2 linked regions of the Sus scrofa genome follow. The protein of the gene in region 1 purifies or fractionates together with the protein of each later gene. This does not show direct contact. Links are inferred from orthologs where the notes say so. Each region holds a gene or a part of one and is shown in the gene's direction. Other genes may lie near its edges.

Region 1 (3,540 bases):
ACACAGGGGTCGGGGGCTGGCAGCTGCTGTCCGGGGTGCCCCGTGCCTTCACCCTGGTGTGGGTCTTACTGTCCTCTGCTGGCCCTGTCCCTTGTCGGGAAGGGGCAGCTGTGGAGAGGAGGCTTGACTCAGATGAGTCCCTACTGGTGCCCTCACGCTTGTCGCTCCTGGGGCTCTCGGGTCCAGAGGGGGTCTGGGCGTGGGCGGGAGAAGGGGCCCCCGGAGGGGCACTGCCAGGCACATGCAGACCCGTCACCCCACAGCCTGAGGAACACGTGGGACATTTCGCTGCTCCCTCCCCCGGCCCTCAAACACATCAGCCGGGGTGGGGGGTGTCTGTTAACTGGAATCATTTGCTCATTCCTCTTTGCTTCCTCAGTTTCGGATTTTGGTGGTCTCAAAATACAGATTTATTGACTTCATCGAAATCGGTGATACTTAACGACCAGAAGAAAATTGCAGGTGTTTCGAAGCGTCCAGTTTGATGCTTCCCAGGCATCCGCATGTGTCAGCAATTGTTGACTGGGGCTCTGCGTGATTTTTCTTTTCTAGATCTTGCAGTCCCTTTCGGCCCCAACGAAAAGTTTAGAACAGCAGGTGAATCACAGCCAGCAGGGCCACTCGAACGCCGTGCTGTTCAGCCAAGTAAAGGTGACCACGGAGCCGCATCTGCCCCAGCCACCACCACACCCCGTCCTGCACCTGCCACCCCAACAGGCGGTGCAGCTGCAGCAGCAGTTGCCACACGCCGCACAGCAGCCTTACCCGCCGCAGGCCCTCCCCCAGCACCCGTTCCCACAGCAGCCGATGCACCGCCCCCCGCAGCAGCCGCAGCCCCTCCCGCAGCAGCTGCAGCCCCTCCCGCAGCAGCAGGCCCTGCAGCAGCAGCTGCACCAGCTGCAGCAGCAGCAGCTCGCACAGTTTCAGCAGCAGCAGCTCGCGCGCCTGCACCAGCAGCAGCAGACGCAGACCCAGGCGCCCCAGGCCCTCCAGCACCAGCCGCCGCCCCCGCAGCCCCCGCCGCCGCAGCACCAGCACCAGCTGTTTGGACACGACCCAGCAGTGGAGAGTTAGTGTGGATTTCTGCCTTTTCTCTTCCAAGTCTTACGCTTACGTCAGTGCTTTGAGAGCGTTTGAAGGTGGGCTAAGGATTTGTGTCAGGATCATTCTAGACAGTGGGGGACGGGAGTTTCCTAGGACAAGGGGCAGTTCCATCTCTGGGGGACTTGGGGGCGCCTGCCCTCGGGTGAACATTGGTTTTCGTGGAACTTGGGGCCGCGAGAACCGGCTCAGGCGTGAGCCGTTGGTTTCGTTGGTCTCGTCATTGTGGACAGACGGGCGTGTGGCAGCATTGCAGGCGTGCACAGGCGTGTGCAGATGTGCGCAGAGGCCGGCGGAGAGGCCGCGGCCAGGAGGACACCCCTTCCTCTGCGCCCGCCTGCCCGCCCGCCACCCTCCCTGCGGAAGGAGCTGTTGGTGTCTGTGCGCGCACAGCTTGGGCTCAGGGTTTGACGAACGTCTCCTGTTGTCGTTCTCTCGTAGTTCCAGAGGAAGGCTTCCTCCTGGGCTGTGTGTTTGCCATTGTGGATTATCCGGAGCAGATGTCCGACAAGCAGCTGCTGGCCACCTGGAAAAGGGTGAGGTCGTGGGCCGTACGTGTCTGCTCTGCTTGTGTCCTGGGTCCTTCTCGTCACGTTTTCTGTGACCTTGGGCGGAGCACATCTCTGGGCTTCAGTGGTCTTAGGTAGAAGGGGGAAATGTTGGACTTTCTCATTCTCTTTTTTTGGTCTTTTTAGGGCCGCACCCTCAGCGTATGGAGGTTCCCAGGCTAGAGGTCGAGTTGGAGCTGTAGCTGCCGGCCTACACCACAGCCGCGGCAACCCAGATCCGAGCCACACCTACACCACAGCCACAGCAACACCAGATCCTTAACCTCTGTCCCAGTGGGTCCTAGTCGGTCGGGTTCGTTACCTCTGAGCCACGGCAAGAACTCCAGGACTCTCTCAAGATTCATCTCAGGCCTAGAATTTAAGCGACACAGATCACTCGGCTGAGGTTTGGTGACCTCAGATGGGGGGCTGTCGGCTCGCAGGTGCCTCAGTCGTTTCTGCTTCCCAAGGGTGAGTGGGAGAAGCCCTGGAGTCCCAGGTTGGGTGGGACCCCGGCGTCCTCTAGGCCAGGCGCAGGACTGTCGTCCATCGATTGAGTAATGGCTTTGCGCGGTGGCCTTTGAGGAAAAGCAAAGGGGAACGCTTTTTCCTGCGGTGCCACGAATCCGATTGAGTCAGATTTTCTGTTAAAAAGTGACCTTGTACAGGTGCTTCTCCAAAAGCACCCCTGGTGTCTCAGGGCCTGCCCTGTGCCAGGCCAGGTGAGGCCGGGGCGGGGTGGGCTGCACAGACGGCGGTGAGCAGCGTGCCAGGTGCAGGGAGAGCCCAGGGAGGACACAGCTATGTCGTTGCGGGGTTGGGGAGGGGGGTCAGCTGGAGAACAGTCTCCAGGGACGTAGAGGAATAGGAGTTCGTGGGGGGGGGTCCCCGGGAGTGGCACCGAATGGGGGTGGAGGGGCAGAAAGGGGAGGGAGCAGGTCCAGGAGGCAGGAGACCAAGGCCAGGCCATGCCTCCCGAGACCACGCTTAGATGCCCTGTTACAGAAACGGGCATTCAGAAAGGGGATCGGCTTGTTTCCATGGTGAAGGAGGAGTGAGGAAGACCCTGGAGCCGGCGAGCACCGGCCAGGGCTGTGGGCAGGGGTGAGGCTGGGGGGTTACAGCGGCAGAAGCCCGCCCCAAATCGTGGGCGTGTAGAAGGTGATACGCAGAAACCGTTCTTAAAAAAGAAACAGAGCAAAACCCAAAGATCAAAGGTTCGGTGTACGGGGGTTGGTTTTGTTCTCCAATTAAAGGATGAGTCCGAAAGGCCCACTGTTAAATGACAGGAGTGGGGGACAGAGGAAAGGAAGGCCAGAAGACAGCTCTCAGCTGCAGGGTGCTGTCCGCGTGGGAAGGGCTGGAGAGCACTGGCTGGACCACGGCCGGGAGCCAGACGGCAGTGGCGTCATGTCTGCACTGTTCTGAGGGCAGCGCATTTCTCACCTGGAGCAGCCTCTCCAGTCCGTCAGTGAGGCCGTGGGACAGAGGCAATTTCAGGCCCCTGAAGTCCAAACGTCCCCCTCCCCGAGGCCTGCAAAGGGGCAGATGTGGTTGGGGTGCGGGGGCTCTAGGGGGAGGGGAGGGGAGATCGTGGAGGCAGGTGCAGGTGGGGCGGGGCGGCGTCGGGAAGGGTGATGCTGTGCCTTCTGCCGGTTGGAAATTCTCAGGGCTGCTCCCGGCCTCGGCTCCCTCCCTCTGCCAGGGTGGCACGCCAGGGCCTCGCTGGAGAGCGTGGCGACCGTGGAGAGGGAACTGCGCCGCCCCTCCTGTTGCGGCTCTGTCTTAGGGCCCCCGCCCGGCCCTCCACGTCTGTCCAGTCCAGCTCTGGGCCGAGTCCGTGGCTCCTGGAGGGAGGGCAGCAGGGGGCGTTACATTTCTTTGAAGAGTT
Region 2 (4,177 bases), on another chromosome or scaffold:
ATAGGGACCAATGGAGCCTGAGCAGCCTTGTTTACAGCTTCTTTCCTGCTCCTGCATCCTGCCAGGCTCCTCTGCCAACCGTAGGCCTCCCTGTTCCCTGCTCTGTGTCCAACCTCCCTGCACTTTTGCCTGCCTCCCCTTCAGCCTCTTGGCTTCCCTACCCCTGCACTTCTGGAAACCTCCCTGCACTTCTGGAAACCTCCTTGCACTTCTGGAAACCTCCCTGACCATCTCCCAGACTCTCTTTGCTCTCAGCCTTCCTGCATCTCTTGCGGCCTTCCTGCACTACACCCTCCCGAGTCCCCTGCACCTCATCCCGGATCTCCATTTCCCAACTTTTTATTGTCTCAGCATCCCCCCCTCCCCCCCCTCCTCTCTTCCTTCCCTTCCTCATTCATCTCCTCTTCCCTCTCCACACCCTCCACCCCCTTCCTCTTCCTGCCTCCTCATCTCCCCTCTGCATCCTCTCCTCCACCCTCCTCCACCGTTTATTCTGCAAAAACTCCAGCACTTAGATCAGGCTGGGGGAGGGGAGCGGTGTCTGGAGAGGGCTCCCTAGCCCGGGCTCGCGACTGTTCTCTGCAGGGACTACCCAGGCCCAGACACCCCCGGGGTGCCTCGGGGTCGCAGAGCTGGCAAGCCGGGCCTCGTTTGTAGATTTGTGCAGGGGTGGCGGGTACTGTTCCGAACAAGCACCTGGTAGAAGGGAGGGGCGAGGCTCTCGAACCCTCCCCGGTCGGCCCGAGCTGACCTGCCCCGCCTGGGCTTTTTAACCCAGTCGGTTTGTTAAAGGCGTCGCGGCTGGAGTCATTCACGTGCTTTGTAACTGTAAGAACAGAAAAAATTGGACCAAAGCTCCCAGCTGCAGGGAGCAAAGAAGGGGCGGAGAGAGCTGCGATTATTTTCTAAGAGGACGAGAGAGGTTTGTTGCACGCGACAGTTCACTGGGGAGGCAGGGTCTGAGCCACAACGCGGTTCGGAGTTGGTTTGGTTTTGGTTTTTTTGTGTTTTTTTTAATATAAAAAAAAGCGTAGGGAAAAAACCTAAAAGTCTTTAAAAAAAAAAAAAAAAAGGATACATCAAACTGATTCTCCCTTTTTGTATGCCGGATGCTGCATGAGTCTGAAACACCAATAAACGGAGACTGCATGATACTCGCCTCCAGCCTCAGTTGGTCCTTACGTGCCTGCGCCGCGGGGCCGGAGGTACAGCCTCCTTTGGGGCACAACCTACTAGGTGATTTGCGCATGCGCCACCCCCGTGGCCATCTTTACTGTGGGCCGAAGCCTATCGTTCCCGAGCGCCTACCTGCGCATGTGCAAGCCTCCCCTTGCTTTCCTCTCCCAAGTAGCTTTGACTAAAGCGGAGCCTCCCGCGCCGTATCTGTGCGCCTGCGTACTTTGACCCTGCGCGGCCCGGGAGGCGGGTCTTAGCTCCAGGTGCGTACGGCCGCTGAGGTGGGGGACCTTCGAGGTGTGGGGAGAGGACGCCGCATCCAGGTGTAGAGCGGCGTAGTGCGGAGGCGAGAAGAGCGGGTCCGCCCGTCTCCGGCCCGGAAAGTGGTTTCTGCCGCTCGCTGGAAACCTCGGAGTACCGGATCTCGATCTGTGGGGGGCGGGGTCCTTGGAGGGGACTGAGCGCCCCCTCCTGGGAACCGGTGGTCTGGTCGCGAGACCGCTGTTGGAGCCTGATTGGTTAGCGAAACAGTCCCCGAACCCCGGGGTGATCCCTTTTTTTGGGAGGGAGTGGAGGGAGGGAGGGGGCGCGGGGGGAATCCCCGGCTTGGTACTCCTGCATCTCCTGGCATCGCTGGGCCCCTTCCCTAGTGGCTTATGTCCCTTGTCCGGGGTCATGGAGACACGGCAGCCACCGCGGCGGCGCCTCTGTCTGAAGAAGGGGAAGTGACCTCCGGCCTCCAGGCTCTGGCCGTGGAGGACACCGGAGGCCCCTCTGCTTCGGCCGATAAAGCCGAGGAAGAGGGGGAAGGAGGCCGGGAGGAGGCCGAACATGAGGGGTCCAGGGCCGAGGAAGTGCAGGGAGAAGCCCCCAGCACTGAGGGGGAAGAGCCCGCCCAGGGAGACTCCGAGGACTGGTGCGTGCCCTGCAGCGATGAAGAGGTGGAGCTGCCTGAGGATGGGCAGCCCTGGATGCCACCTCCCTCCGAAATCCAACGGCTCTATGAACTGCTGGCTGCCCACGGTACCCTGGAGCTTCAGGCAGAGATCCTGCCCCGCCGACCACCTACGCCTGAGGCCCAGAGTGAAGAGGAAAGATCTGATGAGGAACCCGAGGCCAAAGAGGAGGAAGAGGAAAAGTGAGGATTGCTTCCTTGATGCCAGGAGGAAATAGGGAGGGAGGTGGGACCCAGGAGCATGGGAAGTTAGAGGGAGGGGAAGAGCCCGAAGGCCCGGGAGAAGCACCAGTGGAGGTTTGGAAGGATCTCCCTCACCCTCCTCTCTCTCTCCACCTGTCCCAGGCCGCACATGCCCACAGAATTTGATTTTGATGATGAGCCAATGACACCAAAGGACTCCCTGATTGACCGGAGGCGCACCCCAGGTACAGACAAGAGTGGAGAATGGGGGGCGCGGGGGGGCCTCTGTTCCCACTTACTCCGAAAGGGACTCCCTGAAAGAGGTCTTTGAGGCGTTCTCTGATGGCTTAGTGGCAAAGGACCCAGCATTGTCACTGCTTTGGCACAGGTTCGAACCTTGGCCTGGGAACTTCCACATTCCATGGGTGTGGTCAAAAAAAAAAAAAAAAAAAAGGTCTCTGCTTGGTTCCTTGGTAGCTACACAAATCACAGCTTCAGGGGAGAGCGTGCACTCAGTGGTTGCCATCCTTCCAGTCTAGGTGGTACCCAATTTTCTTTTAAAAGATTATCACAGGTAATTCTATCATATTTCCCATTCCTTTGGTCTCATTTCCCCCCCACCCCCATCCCAGAAGTCCGAGTCTTCTTGGTCATTATCTAGCTCCACATCCCTATGCTACTGCGTACACCTCCTAATCTGACCTAGCTTCCCATGCCTAGAGTTTACCGTCAGAGCCATTCTCTCTCTCTCTCTTGTGTGTGTGTGTGTTTAGGGCTGCATCTGCGGCATATGGAGGTTCCCAGGCTAGGGGTCAAATCAGAGCTATAGCTGCTGGCCTACACCACAGCCACAGCAACATGAGATCTAAGCCACATCTGGGACCTACACCACGGCTCATGGCAACACCGGATCCTTAGCCCACTGAGTGGGGCCAGGGATCGAACCCGAATCCTCATGGATACTAGTCAGGTTCGTTAACCTCTGAGCCAAGACGGGAACTCCTCTCAGAGCCATTCTTGATTTCTCTTTCTTTCTTTTTTTTTTTTTTTTTTTGTCTTTTGTCTTTTTTTGTTGTTGTTGTTGTTGTTATTGTTGTTATTTCTTGGGCCGCTCCCGCGGCATATGGAGGGTCCCAGGCTAGGGGTCTAATGGGAGCTGTAGCCGCCAGCCTATGCCAGAGCCACAGCAACGCGGGATCCGAGCCGCGCCTGCAACCTACACCACAGCTCACGGCAACGCCGGATCGTTAACCCGCTGAGCAAGGGCAGGGATTGAACCCGCAACCTCATGGTTCCTAGTCGGATTTGTTAACCACTGCGCCACGACGGGAACTCCCGATTTCTCTTTCTTTTATGTCAACATTCAAACCAGCAGCAAGTCTTGTTAGGTCTGCCTCCACATTTCCAAATTCAGCTACTAGTCTCTGTCTTTAATGTGACACCCTGATCCAAGCCGTCTCTCTTTCAAAACATAAGTCAGCTCAAATCTGTTTTAAATTTTTTTAAATTATTATTATTTTATTTTTAGGGCCTCAAGTGTGGCAAATGGAGGTTTCCAGGCTAGCGGTCCAATTGGAGCTGCAGCCCCTGGCCTACACCACAGCAACACGTGATCCGGCCACATCTGCGACCTACACCACAGCTCACGGCAACACTGGATCCTTAACCCACTGAGCAAGGCCAGGGATCGAACCTGCAACCTCATGGTTCCTAGTAGGATTTGTTGCTGCTGTGCCACGACAGGAACTCCCAATTCTGTTTTAAATTCTCCGAAGGAGGAGTTCCTGCTTGGTGCAGTGGATTAAGAATCTGATTGCAGTGACTTGGTTCACTGGAGAGGGACGGGTTCAATCCTGGGCCTGG

The links. The genes of interacting proteins can lie anywhere in the genome.
Region 2: the proteins of PAXIP1 (region 1) and PAGR1 purify together in Homo sapiens (affinity purification with mass spectrometry; 6 studies listed by BioGRID and IntAct, with this or other methods). This does not show direct contact. The link is inferred for Sus scrofa from reciprocal best matches to the Homo sapiens genes PAXIP1 and PAGR1.

Annotation. Positions count from the first base shown.
Region 1 is NC_010460.4:3,090,829-3,094,368, forward strand, and holds part of PAXIP1 (PAX-interacting protein 1), read left to right. Parts: intron 1-552; coding exon 553-1,069; intron 1,070-1,542; coding exon 1,543-1,637; intron 1,638-3,540.
Region 2 is NC_010445.4:18,051,323-18,055,499, forward strand, and holds the start of PAGR1 (PAXIP1-associated glutamate-rich protein 1), read left to right. Parts: upstream 1-1,356; 5' UTR 1,357-1,832; coding exon 1,833-2,314; intron 2,315-2,476; coding exon 2,477-2,559; intron 2,560-4,177. UniProt on the Homo sapiens protein: Its association with the histone methyltransferase MLL2/MLL3 complex is suggesting a role in epigenetic transcriptional activation. However, in association with PAXIP1/PTIP is proposed to function at least in part independently of the MLL2/MLL3 complex.